Ovis aries: one gene and its partner. The main gene of each other region encodes a partner of the protein of the gene in region 2 in a complex. Links are inferred from orthologs where the notes say so. Each region holds a gene or a part of one and is shown on either strand. Other genes may lie near its edges.

Evidence for each region.
Region 1: the proteins of SERPINA10 (region 2) and PROZ are in contact, whole or in part, in a crystal structure (PDB 3H5C), measured with the Homo sapiens proteins. The link is inferred for Ovis aries from reciprocal best matches to the Homo sapiens genes SERPINA10 and PROZ. Residues at the interface, in NP_001094077.1 of Homo sapiens: Arg88, Lys89, Ser91, Met92, His94, Asp95, His257, Asp259, Lys260, Tyr261, Asn282, Phe283, Lys305, Met306, Asp308, His309, Leu310, Ala311, Leu312, Asp314, Tyr315, Leu316; in NP_003882.1 of Homo sapiens: Cys129, Pro131, Cys141, Leu142, Pro143, Ser151, His250, Met251, Arg252, Asp254, Ala257, Glu259, Asn260, Glu284, Lys285, Asp286, Phe287, His290, Leu291, Thr336, Thr337, Arg338, Arg390, Ser392, Leu393, Trp394, Gln397.

Annotation. Positions count from the first base shown.
Region 1 is NC_056063.1:85,860,123-85,863,924, forward strand, and holds part of PROZ (vitamin K-dependent protein Z), read left to right. Parts: intron 1-173; exon of another isoform or gene 174-1,166; intron 1,167-1,606; exon of another isoform or gene 1,607-1,680; coding exon 1,681-1,705; intron 1,706-2,092; coding exon 2,093-2,206; intron 2,207-2,642; exon of another isoform or gene 2,643-3,339; intron 3,340-3,419; coding exon 3,420-3,551; intron 3,552-3,802. UniProt on the Homo sapiens protein: Appears to assist hemostasis by binding thrombin and promoting its association with phospholipid vesicles. Inhibits activity of the coagulation protease factor Xa in the presence of SERPINA10, calcium and phospholipids.
Region 2 is NC_056071.1:56,759,611-56,764,021, reverse strand, and holds the start of SERPINA10 (protein Z-dependent protease inhibitor), read left to right. Parts: upstream 1-1,346; 5' UTR 1,347-1,407; intron 1,408-1,612; 5' UTR 1,613-1,726; intron 1,727-4,371; 5' UTR 4,372-4,408; coding exon 4,409-4,411. UniProt on the Homo sapiens protein: Inhibits activity of the coagulation protease factor Xa in the presence of PROZ, calcium and phospholipids. Also inhibits factor XIa in the absence of cofactors.

The DNA of each region.
Region 1 (3,802 bases), on a different chromosome or scaffold from region 2:
CCCTGGGTTGCAAAGATCCCCTGGAGAAGGGAATGGCAACCCACTCCAGCATTCTGGCCTGGAGAATCCCATGGACAGAGGAGCCTGGCGGACTGCAGTCCATGGGGTCCCAGAGTCGGACGCAACTTAGCGATCAAACCACCACACACATATCTTAGGGTCCATTTATTTACCCGCTTCTTTTCGGCTATGGCGGGTCGTCACGGCTGCAGGCTTTCTCTCTTGTGGCAGGCGGGCCCCCTCTCCCTTGTGGTGCTCAGGCTTCTCGTCGCGTTGGCTCCTCTGGAGGAGCGCAGCTCTGGGCTCATGGACTCAGCAGTTGCGGCCCAAGGGCGCTAGAGCTCTGGCTCAGTAGCTGGGCACGAAGGCTTAGGTGCTCCGAGGCGCGTGGGATCTTCCTGGGCCAGGGATGGAGCCTGTGTCCTTTGCATCGGCCGGCAGACTCTTTACTGTGGGACCAGGGAAGCCTCTCTCTAATATATTTTTTAACTGCTTTAAAATATATTTTCTTGGATGCCCATGTATAAGAAAACTCCTCTGAAACAGACCATCTTTCATAGAACTGGGAGAAGTGAAAAGTTCCTGGTGGAAGAAAAGCTGGGCTTGCGCCCTGAGGCTGCAAGCCCACTCGAGCTGTTGGGAGCTGGGGACGGTGTGTGGCTCATGCGCTTACCTCCAGGCTTTAAGCCTGAGGGGTCTCCCACCTTTAGCTGCCCTGCCCGAACACAACGCCTCCCATACGCAATTTACAAACTTCCATCATTGCTGAACTGGCTTATAAAACAGGAAAAGGGGTGGGAATTTCTCACATCTGCATCCGGCACGCTGCGGAGTGGGGTCCTGGAGACCACCAGGACGGGAGGCGCCCGGGAGGCCGTGGGATCTGTGCTGCGTCTCAGCTACTGACACTCTCCCTTCCTCAAGTGGGTCACAGCAAATACACACCAAACAGGACGCAGAGCACGCGTTGGGGTGGCTGTTCAGTCCCACAGTCCTGTCCGACTCTTGCGACTCAATGGACTGCAGCCCGCCAGGCTCCTCTGGCCTCGGGATTTCCCAGCAAGAATATTGGAGATGGTTGCCATGCTCTCCTCCAGGGATCTTCCTGACCCAGGGATTAAGCCTGCCTCTCCCGCACTGCAGGCGATTCTCTACCACTGAGCCACCTGAGAAGCCCAGGACATATATTCAGTTCAGTTCAGTCGCTCAGTCATGTCCGACTCTTTGCGACCCCATGAATCGCAGCATGCCAGGCCTCCCTGTCCATCACCATCTCCCGGAGTCACGCATTAAAGAGGGCATTAAGTAGGTGTAGCTTCCCTGGTGGCTCAGCTGGTTAAAGAGTCTGCCTGCAAAGGGGGAGACCCGGGTTCAATCCCTGGGTTGGGAAGTTCCCCTGGAAAAGGAATGGCAACCCACTCCAGTGTTGTTGCTTAGAGAATCCCATGGAGGGAGGAGCCTACCAGACTACAGTCCATGGGGTCACAAAGAGTCGGACACGACTACGCGACTTCGCTTCACTTAAGTGAAGCAGATGTAGAGAATTTCACATTCTCGTTTCAACCAGCATTTTCCTACTAAGTGAACAGAGTCAGCATTTTCTCACCTTCAAGCTCAGCTGCAGGAGAAGGTGGGAGAACAGGTGTTTGATTTCTAACACTCTGATGTTAACTCGGACAGGATGAATTCTGGAAGACATACATGGGTGAGTGTCCCCTCCACCCCGCCTGCCACCTCCTCTGCTTTTTGCTTTGATGGGAGGAGGCATCAACCCCGCTCTCCAGGGCTGAGAACTCGAGGCCAGAGGATTCCCAGTGTCCAGCCTTGGGCTCCTGGACTTTGACCCAAAGGAAGGGCGCCGGGCCGCGGGATGAGGGGGAAGCTCGCCCACCCCCCAGCTCCCATGGGCCTCGTGCTGATGGCCAGAGCCGTTAAGCTGCGGAAGGCAAGGCTTGCGGGTGCTGTTTGGGGACCACGGTGCCCGGGGGTCTCCAGGAGGCCTCTCGGCAAGGAGATGGATCCTAGAGGGGCAGGCGGGCAGGCTGAGCCAGGGGCGTCAGGGGGTCACCCGTGAGGGGCGTCCTCTCTGCAGGCGGCTCCCCATGTGCCTCCCAGCCTTGCCTCAACAACGGGTCCTGCCAGAACAGCATCCGCGGCTACACGTGCACCTGCGCGCCGGGCTATGAGGGCCCCAACTGTGCCTTTGGTGAGCCCCGCCCCTCCCCGGGAGCCCCGCCCCTCCCCGGGACCCCCGCCCCTCCCCGGGACCCCCGCCCCTTCCCCGGACCCGCGATCCTCCCCTGGATCCTCGCCTCTCCCCGGGAGCCCCGCCCCTCCCCCGGGACCCCCGCCCCTCCCCGGGACCCCCGCCCCTCCCCGGGACCCCCGCCCCTCCCCCGGGACCCCCGCCCCTCCCCGGGACCCCCGCCCCTTCCCCGGACCCGCGATCCTCCCCTGGATCCTCGCCTCTCCCCGGGAGCCCCGCCCCTCCCCCGGGACCCCCGCCCCTTCCCCGGACCCGCGATCCTCCCCTGGATCCTCGCCTCTCCCCGGGACCCCCGCCCCTCCCCGGGACCCCCGCCCCTTCCCCAAGGGCCCAGCTCCCTGGGTCATGGGTGCGAGACCGTCCTCAGCTTCATCACCTGGTGTCCCTTCAATGTTGCGGGTTGGGGTGGCGGGGAGCGGGGGTCAAAGCAGCCAGAGACCCCTCCATGCAGAAGTGAACTCCGCTCTCGATGTTACGGAACCTGCTCCACCGGCCTCCCTGAGAGCTCAACCGGGTGCTGGAAGGACACCCCAAGTGCAGCGCGCCGAGCAGGGGTTCCAGCTTCACCCCACATGCGTCCCCTCCCCGTCCCGACCCCCACCTCGAAGAAGCCCCTTAAGATGTCCGGCTGCTGTGGCGGGAAGTGAGCCCACAGAGGGGCCAGGAGGATCCTTGTGAGGGGCGCGCGGGGCTCCACGCCCGTTCGTTCCTGACCCGGAATGGAAGTGCTCACGTGAGCGTGTTTGGAATGAAAGGCCAGAGCCCCATGCTCAAGGATAGCTGTTCAGTTCAGCTCAGTCGCTCAGTCGTGTCCGGCTCTTTCAACCCCATGGACTGCGGCACGCCAGGCCTCCCTGTCCATCACCATCTCCCGGAGCTCACTCAAACTCATCCATTGAGTCAGTGATGCCATCCAACCATCTCATCCTCTGTCGTCCCCTTCTCCTCCCACCCTCAATCTTTCCCAGCATTGGGGTCTTTTCAGATGAGTCAGTTCTTCCCATCAGGTGGCCAGAGTATTGGAGTTTCAGCTTCAGCATCAGCCCTTCCAATGAATATTCAGGACTGATTTCCTTTAGGATGGATTGAAAAGGATACTTCAGAATGGCTGTTTCCGGGGTAACATTTCTGTTTTCCCCATTTTCTTTTTTAGCTAAAAACGAATGCCACCCTCTGAGGCTGGACGGGTGCCAACACTTCTGCTACCCGGGACCAGAGTCCTACACGTGCAGCTGCGCGAGGGGCCACACGCTGGGCCAAGACCGCAGGTCCTGCCTCCCCCACGGTGAGTCTCCCCCCGGCCTTCCTCTGCAGCGACTCTGAAAGCCCACCTCCCCTGCTGTGGCTGGTCAGGGCTGGGGGAGCGGGCTTCCCAGCCCTCGCCAGGCTCCCTACCCGCCCCCCACCCACCATCTCTGAGAGCAGGTATGGAATCCCACCTGCTCCGCATATACACGAAGTATCTCAACCTAACGGGCACCACAGAGCAGGCTGGGTCAGCACCGCAGTCACCCCACCGCCTGCCCTGGGAGGCTC
Region 2 (4,411 bases):
ACGCACAGACCTGTCCCCCACAATGAAGTGGCGTCACGTGACTGCAATGTCCCGCCGCAAGTCCACGTGGATGGAACATTTGAAAACCCATTAATAAATGATCTGAGCCCAGACTCTCACAGGGCCACAGGTATTTTAGCTCAGCTAAAAACACCATCCCCCCCACCACCACCAATTTTTAATTCCCAAGGAATTGCCTATGAAAATAAATCAGAGGAAGATTTGTATGTTGTTTTGGAGGAACTGAACGTGACTCACCATTGCAGAAAGCCGCATCGCTGGTAGTGACCGTGGCTGCGGCGTGGAAGGGCCAATATGACAGGTGCGCAGCAGAGAGTGCTCCCACCTGGTCCCGCATCTGACAGTATCGCTGCCGCTTCTAGGGTAGTCACGGCAGAGCATAATTAAAGAAACGTTATCTTCTCACAGTTTCCTTTTCCCCTCCATATTATAAAGCATTATTATTATTTTTTAAATGTTGTGGGTAGATTCTATTAACTACAAATTTCACTTCAGAGTAGTAAAGGGCACATAAAATATTTATATTATCAAAAAGAGTCCAACAGTCTAACAGTCTAACAGTTTGAGGATTTTAGTCTTAGAAGTCCATTGACCTGGTGAAGCAGAGAATTAACCTTGAAATAGGCTCTTTATGGCTGGTGGTGATTAAAGGGTCTGTCTCTCCCACTGCGGGGGGTGGGGAGGGCACGGGGGGCTTCTCAGGTGGCACAGTGGTAAAGAATCTGCCTGCCAGTGCAGGATATGGAACAGACGTGGGTTCCGTCCCTGGGTAGGGAAGGTCCCTTGGAGAAGGAAATGGTAACCCATTCCAGTATTCTTGCCTGGAGAATCCCCATGGACGGAGGAGGCTGGTGGGCTACAATCCATGGGGTCACAAAGAGTTGGACACAACTTAGCAACTAAACAACGACAGCTCTCCCAGTGGACTGAAAAGTTCCCTGGGAGGTGCTGGGGGCAGGCCTTATTCATTTCTGCCTTCCCTCCTCACACGGAGCCCAGCTTTGAGTTGGGGACCCAGGAGGCCTCCATGGGATCCAGCCCTTCCTTCCTGCGAGGTGTTCAGCACCTGCAGCAACTATGTCCCACGAGGAGCTGGATCTCACTAGGGTGCTGCCTGGGTTGAGAAGCAGAGGCTCTCATGGAGGAATTGCCCGAGTCAGGAGTGCAGGATTACAGGGGATTATGGGAAGCTTTTCTCTGCATCTTGGCTTTCCCAGAAACACCACCATCTCCAAGCAGAATGTTAATCAGTAACAGCCCCCCGGGGGCAAGGGGGTCACACTTTGGAATAGCAAATATTTACTGCAGGCTTCCAGCTACAAGCCCTAACCTTCTGTCTTTGCCCTGAATGAAGGACCTTCCCAGGCACCAGGTGGCCTCTCACTGGTAAGAACAGTGGATCAAAGGGAGGCTTCACAGTGTCTGCCTAATGAAGAATAGGGAGAGAAGACCTGTCCTCTCTGGGTGGGTTCCCAGGGGAGGGGGTGGCAACCTGGGCAGCGCTGATCCCTCATTCCTGGACTGGATGGGGCGGGCAAGGAGGTGGGGGTGGTAAGAGGCTTGTTGTAGACACAGGAGGCTTCTTCCGCAGAGAGGAGGCCAGTGGAAGAGGCTTTGAAGGCTTGAGATGTCATGCCCACAACACTCCATGCAAGCCCCACATAGCTCCCTGGCCTTCTTCTCAGAGACCTGTCTGCCCGAGCAAGTGAGTTCCTGCTGCTTCCAGATTTGGGGGTGGGTTTGCAGCTCCAGGTACATTCAGGGCTGAGAAGTGGTGTGTGAGTGGTGGGTTTATTACTACTCAGGTTCTAGAGTGCCATATCTCTGTGTCATCCTTAAAAAAAAGTCTTTTAATTTTTTTTATTTATTTATTTTTGGCTGTGCTGGGTCTTCATTGCTGCACGGATTTTTGTCTAGCTGTGGCAACCAGGGGCTACTCTCGAGTTTGCAGTCCATGGATATCTCATTGCAGTGGCTTCTCATGCGGGGTACGGGCTCCAGATGGGCAGGCTTCAGTAGTTGCAGTACGTGGGCTCAGTAGCTGTGGCTCATGGGCTTTGCTCCATGGCATATGGGATCTTCCCAGAGCAGGGATTGAACCCATGTCTCCTGCATTGGGAGGCGGATTCTTTACCACTGAGCCACCTGGGAAGCCCCTTAGAAAGTGAAAGTGTTAGTCACTCAGTTGTGTCTGACTCTTTGCAACCCCATGGACTGTAGCCTGCCAGGCTCCTCGATTCATGGGATTCTCCAGGCAAGAATACTGGAGTGAGTAGCCATTTTCTTCTCCAGGGGATCTTCCTGACCCAGGCATTGAACCTGGGTCTCCCACACTGCAGGCCGATTCTTTACCATCTGAGCCACCCGGGAAGCCCCTTAAACAAAATTAATGGCAATTACAATGAAGTGAAGATGAACAGGTTCAGGAATAGCAGAGGACTTGCAATTTGGGACAAACTGGCAAACCATAGACAATTCTCAGAGAGACAAAGGCAGGCTGGCTTTTCTTAGCTTCTGGGAGGAAGCTGGGGAGGGTTGCTTTGAACAAAAGCTCATTGGAGGAGAATGAGAGTTCAGAGTTATGGCAATTTCTTGTCGGAACCAAGTGGTGGGTAGTTTGCTGTTACTAAGGTATGTGGAACTCTTCTTCCTGCTGATCATGAATACTGAGATGAGTGGGAATGTGTGAGAACCCACCCTGCCATCTCCTTCTTCAGGGGTATCTTCACAACCCAGGGATCAAACCAGCATCTCCTACATTGGCAGGCAGATTCTTTACTACTAGCACCAGTCTGTGGAAACCATCACAGACAGAAGTGACTCTGAATTTGAGAGTATCGCTGTGGGATTAATTTACAAAGGGGTACTAAAGCCTGTGATATAATGAAGGCATGAATCTGGGTACATTTGGTACACTCCAGCAGGTCTTTACCCAGCACATTTAATGCTGGAGTTACCTTTAGAGTGCAGGCTTGCCATTTAGAACTGGGCAAAGCTTCCTAAGTGCTCACAGAAAACAGAGGAGTATTTCGCTGAGTAAGGTCATGCCACTCAAGCAATGGAAAGAACGAGGCCCTGGATCCTATGACACTGTTTAGCAAAAGCCAAAGCAATGTGCTAAGTCCCGGAGCCAGGGTTCATCTTGTAGCCGGCCCAGCGAGGACACAGGCCTCTGCGTCCACAAGAGGCCGGGGAACCTCACCCCGCCAGCACATTTTGCTTCAGGTGGCCTGGCTGAGTGAAGGTCTCTGCTGATAGAAACTCTGTGAGGCCTGTGGCCTCCCTTGGCCTGTGTGTCCTGCGCTGAGTGGTCCTGCCCCACCCAAGCCCTCCTGGGGCAGTGGGTTCAGAAGAGAGCGAGGGTGCATCTCAGTGACCTTCCAAGCCAGCCTCTGGTGGTGTCAACACCAGGAGCCCCGTGTGGCCCATGGGGGTTTATTCAGATGGAAACTCCAGGTGATCGGGAGCTAGGCTCTGTGCCCAAGGATGAGAGGGAGGCCAGAGAGGGGGCAGTGGTGGGGAGTGTGGTGTATGGAGACCCACTGCCCAAGCTGGAGGGCTGGCTCCGCTAGAACAGGCAGCCTCAGAGTGGGCGAGAGGACGCACTTCACAGGTTGAGGGTTAGGTGAGACAGTCCAAGCAGAGTTTAGCCCGGGCCCGAGTGGTTTGAATTGGCTCATCATCCGTTCCTATCCTGGGGGGCTCTGGAGAGAGTGAAGGCAGGAAGTCCTGAGAGGAGCTCTGTGACTGGGTCCCAGGGCTGGGCCGAGCGCTGTAGGGGAGGCACGGGGGGTTTATTGCAGAATCAGGCAAACTCAGCATTCATCCTTGCCCCATGGCCCCCCAGACCCTCTAAGTCCCCAGCCAAAGGCCAAGGTCCAAGTCCCCACAGCCCAGCTTGAACAGGCTGCCCTATTGCCCAGCGATCCAGGGCAGCGAATGAAGCAAGTAGACAGGGAAAGCTCTGGGAAGATCTCCCAATTCCCGGCGCTGCTGTGACCAGCACCCAGTGAGGCCGAGGACCCACACCGCATTCCCTCACATCCCCTCCCTTCTTGGCTGCCTGCCATTCTCCTGGGAGGAACTGGGATGGGTGAGGACAGCTGGGGCAGCCTGATCCCTGATGGAAACGAGAGGAGGTTTCTCTCCATGAAATAAGGTATCTCCCCTCCCACCGACTCAGGTAACAAATGTGACCCTAATTGCTCAGGGTCTCCCCAGCCCTGCCTCGGGGGCATAAGCCCTGACCCCCCAGGAAAGAAGCAGGGTCACCGGAGGAGCTATACCAGGACCCAGGGAGGAGGTGGGCATCAGACATTAAGCACAATCTCTGCCTTCTTTTCTCCCAAGGAAGGCTTGCTGCTGACTGGGCCTCCACGCTGCCCCGATG